Linked DNA regions of Caenorhabditis elegans. The protein of the gene in region 2 binds, or shares a complex with, the protein of the main gene of each other region. Each region holds a gene or a part of one and is shown on either strand. Other genes may lie near its edges.

The links.
Region 1: npp-18 (region 2) and npp-5 share a complex: the UniProt entries of both Caenorhabditis elegans proteins name them as parts of the nuclear pore complex.

What each region holds. Positions count from the first base shown.
Region 1 is NC_003280.10:11,596,018-11,601,828, forward strand, and holds npp-5 (Nuclear pore complex protein 5), read right to left. Parts: upstream 3,793-5,811; 5' UTR 3,789-3,792; coding exon 3,683-3,788; intron 3,627-3,682; coding exon 3,514-3,626; intron 3,466-3,513; coding exon 3,259-3,465; intron 3,207-3,258; coding exon 2,183-3,206; intron 2,137-2,182; coding exon 1,688-2,136; intron 1,507-1,687; coding exon 1,261-1,506; intron 1,205-1,260; coding exon 908-1,204; 3' UTR 750-907; downstream 1-749. UniProt on the Caenorhabditis elegans protein: Involved in kinetochore assembly and chromosome segregation during embryonic mitosis.
Region 2 is NC_003281.10:13,295,252-13,299,720, reverse strand, and holds npp-18 (Nucleoporin SEH1), read right to left. Parts: upstream 2,869-4,469; 5' UTR 2,865-2,868; coding exon 2,799-2,864; intron 2,744-2,798; coding exon 2,633-2,743; intron 2,588-2,632; coding exon 2,526-2,587; intron 2,475-2,525; coding exon 2,407-2,474; intron 2,357-2,406; coding exon 1,969-2,356; intron 1,382-1,968; coding exon 1,125-1,381; intron 1,075-1,124; coding exon 935-1,074; 3' UTR 728-934; downstream 1-727. Other genes in the region: pgm-2 (Phosphoglucomutase-2), read right to left, coding at 183-342. UniProt on the Caenorhabditis elegans protein: Probable component of the nuclear pore complex (NPC) which is involved in the trafficking of macromolecules between the cytoplasm and nucleus. As a component of the GATOR complex may function in the amino acid-sensing branch of the TORC1 signaling pathway.

The DNA.
Region 1 (5,811 bases), on a different chromosome or scaffold from region 2:
CTGACCAACATCAGGACGAAAATTCTGTGAACCGATTCATCAAAAAATGTCTGAATACGTTGCAAGAAAGTGAAAATAGAAAGATCTCCGGCCAACTGATAACTGATAGCAGTTGGCTGACAAAGGTCAACTTTTAAATTTCTGCCCCACCGTTGCAGATATAAAATATTTGAAGGGAAAATGTTAGATTTGAGATCAAAGCACAAGCGACACGTCCAGCATTGAGAACAGTAAATTTGCATGAGAATATAGAAAAATTTTCTGCGAAAAAGCTGACGTTAAATATACGTTGCGTAGCGGTGAGAATGCAGATAAGGGGTCAACGAACAAAACAATAAGGAGAACACATCGAAAATCAAAAGATAATGAAGAGAACGACTCGCCTTTATAGACATTTTGCCGCCATTTGTTTTAATGAACTCTGCTCTTTCTTTTTTCGAGAACGATCGAAAGATCATCAAAACACAGTGTGTAGTTTGATGCCGCGGGTCTCGCAACGCTCCGGTTGAGACAGGTGTGCGCCTTTAAGTATACGGTAGGTGAGAATCCTCACTGAGGATATTTTCAGGCATGGAAATTTTCAAATTAAATGAAGAAAATATCTAAATCAAAATTTAAACCATCAACCTCTGCACAGAAAATTTTTCCTTTCCAAATATACATGGTAGTCTTGCGTCAGATCGGTAATATAGATCTTCCGCAATCTGATGACCTCTTCTTGAAGAAGATCTTCACGTGAAACCCACAGAAATCAGAAAAATTTGTTATTTTCAAATACTGCACGGATACAATCGTGTCTGTGAAAGATCGACCGGAAATTTAAAAAAAATGAGAAAGAAGTCAGAAATATAGTGATAAAAAATGGTAATCAAAACAGGTATCAAACAAAAAAACAATGAAATAAAAATTATTCGACTTTGAGATTGAGTTCTGCGTAGAAAGCTTTGATGAAAACCATCCATTCCTGATCGAGCCCGAGGTCATTATTGAAGCTTGTGAAGAAATCGTTGAAATTTGTGGTATCGTCGAGTCTCACGGCGGCTTGTGCAAGAAGGATGAAGAATTGCGGGAGGAAGAGATTCCGAATCTCCTGAATTTCTTTCCGGTGTACACGCATTGGATCTCCATTAGCACGTGGGCTCAAAAAGTACTCCGGGCGCACACCAATATTGTTAACCAGCCCACGGAGCATCGGAAGAACAGTCTGAAATTTCAATTTTTTAAAATTTTTTTCACAACAATTTATTCTAAAAATCCTACATCTAAATGTTGTTGAACCATTCCAACTCGCGTATTATGCTCGGCGGCTCTCTTTTTGAGCACCTCTTCCCGCAGAGTTTGCTCAGCACGAGCTCGGACTCTCAGTGAAGCTTCCCAGTCAGCAGCTGTGGTGTTGTCGAGTCGTTTGACTCCTCCGATCATGGAAAGCTCATCATCAGTGATCGGTGTGTACTTGAACATGAGCCCAAGTTTCAGAGCAATAGTGATCATGAAGTTGTTCACATCCTGAAAATTCGGATTTTAAAATGGCCAATATGAAATTGAATATTATTCAGCAGCGAAATTTTGAGTACGGGGTCTCGACACGACAAATTTTTGTTCAATACGAGACGGTTTGCACCTTTAAAGATTACTGTAATTTTAACCAGTGGTTAAAGATTCCGCTGATTTGGATAAGAAATCATACCACGAAAGAGCAGAGCCCATAAAATTCCAGAGCCGCGTGTTCGATTTTATTAATTGCCAGCTGCGATCCAGGTTTTTGCTCAAACAGGGTTCCATCAGTGATCAGTGAAAGTACAGTTGCTTCATTTTCAACAGCTTGTGACAATAGCTTAGGAACTTCGAAATGAAGCGCTTTTCGAATAATTTGCCTAATTACAGACTCGTCAATCGGTGTCGACAGCATCACTTTACGAACTAGTCGATTACATTCTTCAAGAGCAGCCAGTGCAGTCTCTTCTCCACCTATCAAAAGCCAATGCCAGTGATCAATCTGCTCTTCCAAAGTTACAACCTTCGTTTTGTCATCTTTTCTGATTTGCTCAATAAGTGTGCACGCACAGCGTCCGAAATCAATGTCAGATTGTTTCAGCGACTCAGCCAGGATTTCACGTTCTTCATCAGAATCGACAGCTGAAAAGAGAATTTTTTTAAAAATCATCATCAGTTTTTAAATTACCTTTCATAGTCTCCACAATCTCTGGAAGCTTCATATCTTCTGGGAGGAATCTTGAATAAAATGCAGCCATTTTCTTGTGTGATGAGGTTCCACTGCGTGCACGAAGATCATCGAATCCAAGAATAATTACAGCATTTCCATCGTCATTTGGTTCGAAACCACTCGCATAAGAAACTGCGACGAGGTGGAAGAAGATGTCGAGTGCGAGCATGTTCACTTGACAATTTTTATCATTTGGAACAAATTCTCCGACTGTTTCATTTGCGAACTTGTACAGATCTTCAATGTCATCATTGAGCATGTCATCGATCACTCGGAGTAGGATGTATACTTCTTTGGTACGATCAGCCTCTGATCTCAGCTCATCTAAGATTGATTTTGAAGTTAGTGGAACGTTGAACAACGTCGAAATAGTTTCCTGTGTCATGGCTCCCTCGGCGGCAAGAATTCTTGCGAGAACTGCAGAATTTGCATATGCCCATACTTTTTCAATCACTGACTTTCCAGCTTTTAGCATTGGTTGGATATTCCCACGAATCGCAGAAATCAGCATCCAGTAAGCATCATCTTCGCTCCCCTGCGATTGTTCTATCAATTTCTGTGTCATCTGGTAGTACTTTGCGCGTCGAGATCTTTTATATTCCCCAAAGTTCTGTTTAGATGCCTCTAGTGGAATATCAAGTGGGTTCCGGAGCATCGAGTGAAGCTGAAGTTGAGCTCCGATCGCTCCCATTCCTAGATCAATGGCTAAATTCGCAGCTTTGGAAGTTTCTCCACTTCGAATTAATTGGAAGAAAACGTTCATCGCCATTTGCTCGAGAGCTTGATCTTCTTTGGTACCAGGAGCATCTGGATCCAGTGAAGCATCTTTTGGAGCATTGGCTGCTCCAAATGTTGGTCGTTTCAAAGCCATCATTGAATTGATTCTAGAAGATTTGATTCCTTCGAGTTTCCGAACTTTGTCTCCAAGACCTTTTTCATATTGCTGTTCGCTGATCGCTTTCTCACTCCAAAGAAGAAGAGCCTAAAAAATTAGAAATTATGTGTTTAATTGAATAAAAAGTCTAAGATCTTACATAAATCCTTCTAAACTCCACATCTTCTACAACTAGTTTGCTAAGCAAAGAAACTTCCACAGTCTCATCATATTCATGAGCCAACGCGGTATAAATTGAAAGAACACTGGCGATTTGCACGGCTTCATTCGCGTATTTTTGTGAACTGGCGGAATAATTAGATCCTGCAGGAAGTTTTCGAGTCTGCATTTCTACTTCTGAATAGATCTGAAAAAATATTACATTTATCAGAGGCCTTTTTCAAGTGAATCAAACCTCATGAAGTCTGGTCCACATAAGTGGCGAGATTTGCCCTTGAGGAATATCGAACTCTCCGAAAGCCAATGCACATAATTCGTGGTACAGTTTTTCTGAGAGATTTGTGTGAACTGCAAATTATATATTTTTAAAATAGTTTTCCTTTCGCATCGAGTGTTAAACTCACAAATTGTAGTGTATTTGAAAGCGGTTTCATTTTTGCGCGCGATTTCATCGTTAGAGTCGTCGAAGGAGTTGGAAGAATTGTCCCCCGAAGCGAACAAGTCTGTCATTGTGCTAAAAATATTTTTTTAAAGGAAAATAAAGTTTTAAAAACTACATGAAACAGAAAAAAAAATCGTTTTACACGACGAAAACCCTTCGAAATTTGAAAATTTTTGCTTAAACGAAAATAATGGTAGTGCGCTCCATTGAGAACACAATGCGCGGACTTTCAAAAAAGAGGGGTTTATTCAGGTTTTCATAACTTTTTTGAAACACAGAAATGGAAGAAATTGCAATTTGAAACTTTTCCGAGTAGTGCCTTTCATCTTCAAATTGTTTAATAAGGTGCAATCAGCTATAAAAAACAAAAATGAGAGCCGACGTTATGGGTTGATGAGAGCTCTTATTTTAAAGCACATCGTATTTTTGCGTTCCAGTAGCAGCTATCCTCTAAATCATCTGTTTTGTGTGCATTGTGACTGTCTATAAATCGATCAATACGTGCTCCTACGCTTGCGTTTGCTACTTACATAAGGATATATTCTTTGAACCACATGTTTTGTGTGAATTGAGACTGTGTATAAGAATGTAAGGAGGAGAGGGGCCGTTCGTATCGTTCGTCTTATGCACAGGCTCAATGCACACAAAACAGGGTATATTGTATACTCAAATTAGAGAAAAACATATGGAGAGGACAATAGACCAAAGTTTTGATTTAATAACTAGAATGGAACCATTTCTGGAGCACTATTTCGTACGAAAAGCTTGCGGCTTTGTGCAATCAATCTCCTAGGACTTTGGCGGCCTGTCCATTTTTGTTATGTTCGAACAATTGAAAAAGTTATTTTTTTAAAAATTCAGGAGAATTCTATAAATTATTTAAAAAGTTATATTCAATATGTTGGACTGCTTTCTGTTTCTAGGGAAGAAACCTACACCTCCTCCTCTAAAAAGTCCTTATAAGGGGACTATAGACCAAAAAAAAGATTCCTTGTAAAAAAATGTTTGCCCTTTTTTGGTACTTCCTTCCTTGGGCTTCTCAAGTGTAATCCATCACATCAATTACACCAACCGACAAGAAAACCAAAAAAAAAAAACGAAAAGATGCTAGTTTTGCATGGGAGCCGTAGTGCACCTCTTCTTTTTCGTCTCTCTTTGTTTCTGCCTCTCCACTCCTTCACCCACTATTTCCAGCTCACCGAGCCATATTTAGTAGCTTCATATCTTTAGTTTATCAATCATATTTGTTAAAATTAATTTCGAGTATTTTCATCGCTAAATACCTGCTTTTCAAAATCGTCGCCACCTATTCCCAAAATCGATCACCGGATTTTTTTCTGCCGACTTCAGTTAAAAGACAACACAAAATGCAATGGTAAAAGGTGAGTTTGGAACAAGTTCTGCAAAAAAAACGAGAGAGAAGACCCCCGAAACTTGATAGTGTGGGAGAGGAGGAGCATAAGAAAGAAGAAAAAAAAGATGTATTGAATTTCGAACATCATGTTGAATTACAACAAAAAATACGCAGATATTTTCAACTTTTTGCGTTTATTAAAAAATTAATGCATATTTTCAAAATGTTTAAAGCCGCTGATAAACGTTCAGATTTAAATTAATGAAAATTTTTACAAATTTCTAATAGTATGCCAATTAAAAATCAATTAGTTTTAGGCTTTCCATTGAAAGTAAACTTTACAGAAAAATCTCAATTTGTACCATTTGGCTTTACATATATTTTTTCAGAGAACTATTGTTCCAGACGCGAACTTTTGAGCCAAAATTAAGGTATCTGGTCTCGACACGACAAATTTCTGAAAGTTAGTAAAGTGGTGTGCGCGTTTAAATAGTACACTGTAATTAATGTAATTTCAAACTGTCGCTGCTGTAGAATTTTCATCGATGTTTTATATGTATGTGTTTCTATTATTTTATTTCAATTTTTTTAAAAATAAATTTATTTTAAATTTGGTATCGAACAACTTCAAAAAGTCGATTAAAATAAAATCGCAGCAATGAGCCTCTGAAATTACAGTTCTATTTAAAGGCGAATGCTCTTCTGCATTTAACAGACATTTATCGTGTCGAGACCGT
Region 2 (4,469 bases):
GTAGCTTTCGCTATGAGATATTTTGCGCGTCAAATAAGTTGCGCAATATGCATTCCCGTAATAATGAAGATTCACACTCTGTAAATCTACACAATTTCGGGTCTTCCTCCCTTTGTCCCAATATAGCTGCGTTTCTTCCACCGTTTACACACTGCAGCTGTGTAATATTATTTTCTTCTCACCAGCAGTTCCAAAAACCAATCGAGTATCCATACGAGCTTTCAATGCATCAACGTTCTTCTCATCAACCAGCTTTTGAATTTCATTACGATTCTTATCATTCTTATCCCAAGCGAGCCAATCGGCAACTTGCTTGTCAAGCTTTGCACATCCAAGAGTCATTCTGAAAATTAGAAAGTGCTTAAATTTTGCAATAAAATTGTGGAAAAGACAACAAAAGTTTTAAAAAATCGAAATTTTGCAGATAAGGACACTAATACCACAATTATTCCGACATGTGTGGATGAGAAAAGGCCAGGTAAATGACCTTGCCGTTTCTCTATTTCTCTGCGAGTAACCCACTATCCCTAGATTTGGAAAAGAGATAAAATCAACAATAATTGATGGAGGTATTGTGGAAACTGTGAAAAAGACAGTATCGGGTTTCAGTAAATATTTAATTTTCGAATTTAGGTGAATGTTGAATGCAAAAAGAATTAACAAAAACGTCCAAAAAATATTTCTAGGCACAAAAACCGTTGAAAATTACATAAGTTAGATAAGTGGAATGTTTAATTCTTGCAGAAACCGATCAGCATGAAAAATCTGAAAATTAAACAGAAGATTGATAAAATACTTAAACATCAAAAAAAAATCGGTGATAATGTTCTCGGTTTTCAGTTTTCAGATGATGATAACAAATAATAATACACGCTTTGATAAGAAATCATTCGGAAAAAAAATGATCGGCGAGAAAAAATAGAGAAAAATATCGTTAGAAATAGGTTTTCTCGAGTTGTGATGGAAGACGTTCGGTAGTTTTCGATGAGATGAAGGCGCGAACTTCTTCAGGCGATGGAACGTAGTCGTCGACATTCATCTCACTCAGCTTTACCCATTGGTTCACGAAGAGTGCTGAAAATCAATTTTATTTCATTTTTGACTCTTTTTGATTTTTTCCCAACATTTCCAGGATCTCAGTGTTCCATCCAAGCTCGTCGACGAGATGACTGATCCCATGAGATTATATCGAAGCCTCCATGCTTTTCGATGATCCCCGAGCAGTGCCACCTTGATCAGATTGTAATCCGCCAGCTGAATCGGATTCTCGACACCGTCTTCTTCGAGAATCGCCGAACGAGCCACTTTGATGTTGTAGACGTGAACATCGCCTGATGCAACGGCTAATTGATGCGAATCCACCATCGATATCGGCGAGAATCTGAACATTTTAAATATTATAGTTAAAATAGCGGAAATTTTTTTTTGAAATTTTCAGACAAAAAATTGATAAAATAGCGGATTTTTCAAGAAAATTCGATTTTTTTTGAAATTTTTAGACAAAAATTATTAAAATAGCGAATTTTTCAAGAAAATTCCAATAATTTTTGGAATTTTCAGACAAAAAATTGATAAAACTGCGGACTTTTCCAGAAAATTCAATTTTTTTTGTTGGAATTTTTAGACAAAAAATTGTTAAAATAGCGGATTTTTCAAGAAAATTTTAAATATTTTTTGAATTTTGTTAAAATAGCGGAATTTTCAGAACATTTCAATTATTTTTAAAATTTTCAGGCAAAAAATTGATAAAATTGCGGATTTTTCAAGAAAATACGATTGTTTTTGAAATTTTTAGACACAAATCCGATAAATATCGGATTTTAGAAAATTCGATTATTTTTTGGAATTTCTAGACAAAAAATTATTCAAAGAGCGGATTTTTTAATACTGAAAAATCTGCTATTTTCAATGGAAAGGCAAGCGCGCTGTAATAATTATTCGGCTCCGAGGAGAGCGTGTTCTTCCTACTTCAAATCAGTAATCGGGCATGGTAGATCGAAGACTAATGAGTTGATTCGCTGCCATTTCCTCAATCCATCAATATTCTCATAGATCACAACTCGTTTCTTGTTCTCTGCCTTCTTCTCATCCGAACCAACAGCAATCAACGGGCGGTGCATACGAGAAAGTGACCATGTGACACATCCACATCGGGTATGAAACGCTTGAAGCTCGTGAATAAGATTCCATCGAGAAGCGTCCACAATATCCGGTGCTTCGTAGATTCTGACGGTTCCGAGAACGTTGCATGATGCCATCATGAGACCCAGATGGCGCGGGGAGAAGCAGATATCGGTGACGTCTGAACGATTATCGGAGATGATTGTTCTTCGGATCCATTGGGATTCTTTTTGCTCTGAGAGATACATAATGTTTTGGATTATATTTAGAGCGAATTATACTCACTCAGATCTTTCTCTGATCTCACAATTTGCTCCTCCCAAATTACAATCGTTCTGTCGTAGGAGCAGGTGCTGAAAATCAATCAATAAAGTATATTCGGGTGACAGTTTCTAGTTTCTTACGCAACAATCTGCCCAAATTCCGGATGAGCCCAAATAACGCGCCAAACTGCTCCACCATGACACTGAAATGAGGAAAATTATTTTATTTTCTGAAATTTCTTTTCTACCTTCCAGTGTGCAGATCTACGCCAATTTCCGTCTGGCTTTCGATCCCAAATCGCCATTGTCATATCGCTGGCACATGTTGCCATTCGTCGGCCATGAGGATCGAATGAAACCTGGAAATAAAAATCTTCAGTTTTTATCTAATTTTTCGAAATCAAGCCAACATACACAATGAATGAGATCTCTGTGAGCGCCGACGGTCTGAAAAGGTTTCACCGAGTCGTCTTCTTGCATTTTTCTGAAAATTAATAAATATTTATAGTGAATATTAGAGAAAAATAAGAGAAAAAGAAGAAAAATCGTTGCGTAGAAACAAAAAAATAGATTCAAAATTTAAAGGCGCAGGCACTTTCGCCGGTGGAAGGTCTCGCTAGGAGCGAGTGGTGTAGTCCTCTCGGACAAACGAGAAGATGCGGTAAATGTAAAATTTTTAAATTTAATGTTGGCCTAAATTAATTGCGGCACAATGAATTGATACATTTTAAAGACTTTTCATCCAAATTTTGTTTAATTAATTGTTAGAAATTGCTAAACTGTTCTATTCTAATCGAGGGGGTACGTTTTCGTAAGGGGATTTTTTCGTAAGGAACGCTTTCAGTAGGGCAATGTGCTGCGCGCCTTTTCGCAAGCCCGCCGCACAGTCCTTCGCAATGCGCCGCACGGCTTTTTGCAATGCGCCGCACGCTTCTTCGTATTTATTTATTTCTTTTTCCAACAGGAAATTTCGAACGGAATTCAATTAAAAACGGATTTTTAATGGAAATTAATTAGTTTTATTCGAGCTAAATACGGATATTTTCAGAATTTTCGATGACAAAAACGGGTTGCAATCGATTTCGAATCGATCAAAATTAATATTAATCGAAAATGAGCATTTCCTTCCCGGAAAAAGAAGAACTTGATGCTGAGAGTGATCCAAGCGGAGCCAAACGCTTTTTTAGAGGCAAGTATTGATGTCTAAAGATTAATTGAAGAGTGAAAAGTATTTTTCAGCGTTCGACAGGGATCTAAAGAAGAAAAGAAATCCGAAAGCGTCTACTACAAATGTATGTGAATCGACTCCTGCAACAATCGATCTGGTTACTCCACCTGCATCACCACGTCGGTCTGATTCGTATATGCAGTTTCCTTCAAATTCTCGAGAGCTCGATGAGCCGAGATCCACTGACGATATCCCGGAATGCGATTCAATAGCCAATTCTACTCAGGAAACAAGCTTGGATACAACAGATTCCATGGCAAATACTGAAAGATTTTTTGATTTTGATCCAGCTGTATTTCCCGAAGAAATGGATCACGATCTACAGGAAACCAGTGAATTCAATCTTCTGTGTAGGTCTTAACTAATAATTAAATAGAAATAACAGACGTTGTATTTTTAGGTCACAATTCATATCAATCTCCGTTTGAAGACGAAGAGACTCCATACCATCCGGATTGGTTTTTGACAAATAGGTTGTTATTAATCAATAACTCTATCAAAATATAAAATTCCAGCAAGTCACACGTGTTACGTTCTCTGATGCACTATAGACCGATTGCCAATAGCCCAAGAGGGTGCTTGAAATGGCACCGGAATATATCAGCGAGAATAGTTCAGATTTTTGGTATGCCTTCTAACTTCTAAAACAATTAAACATAGAAACTATGCAATTTCAGTATTTCGACGAAACGAGGAGCTCCATTGGTCATTTTCAACAATCAAAGCTATCGTCCGAGAGAAACACTGAAAAATGGGGACATTGTGGCTAGGTGAATTATCGCTAGGAAAAAATTTTATTTTTTGTCACACATTTCATTAATTTATTTCAGATGTAACGTTACACTGGAAAACTCGAG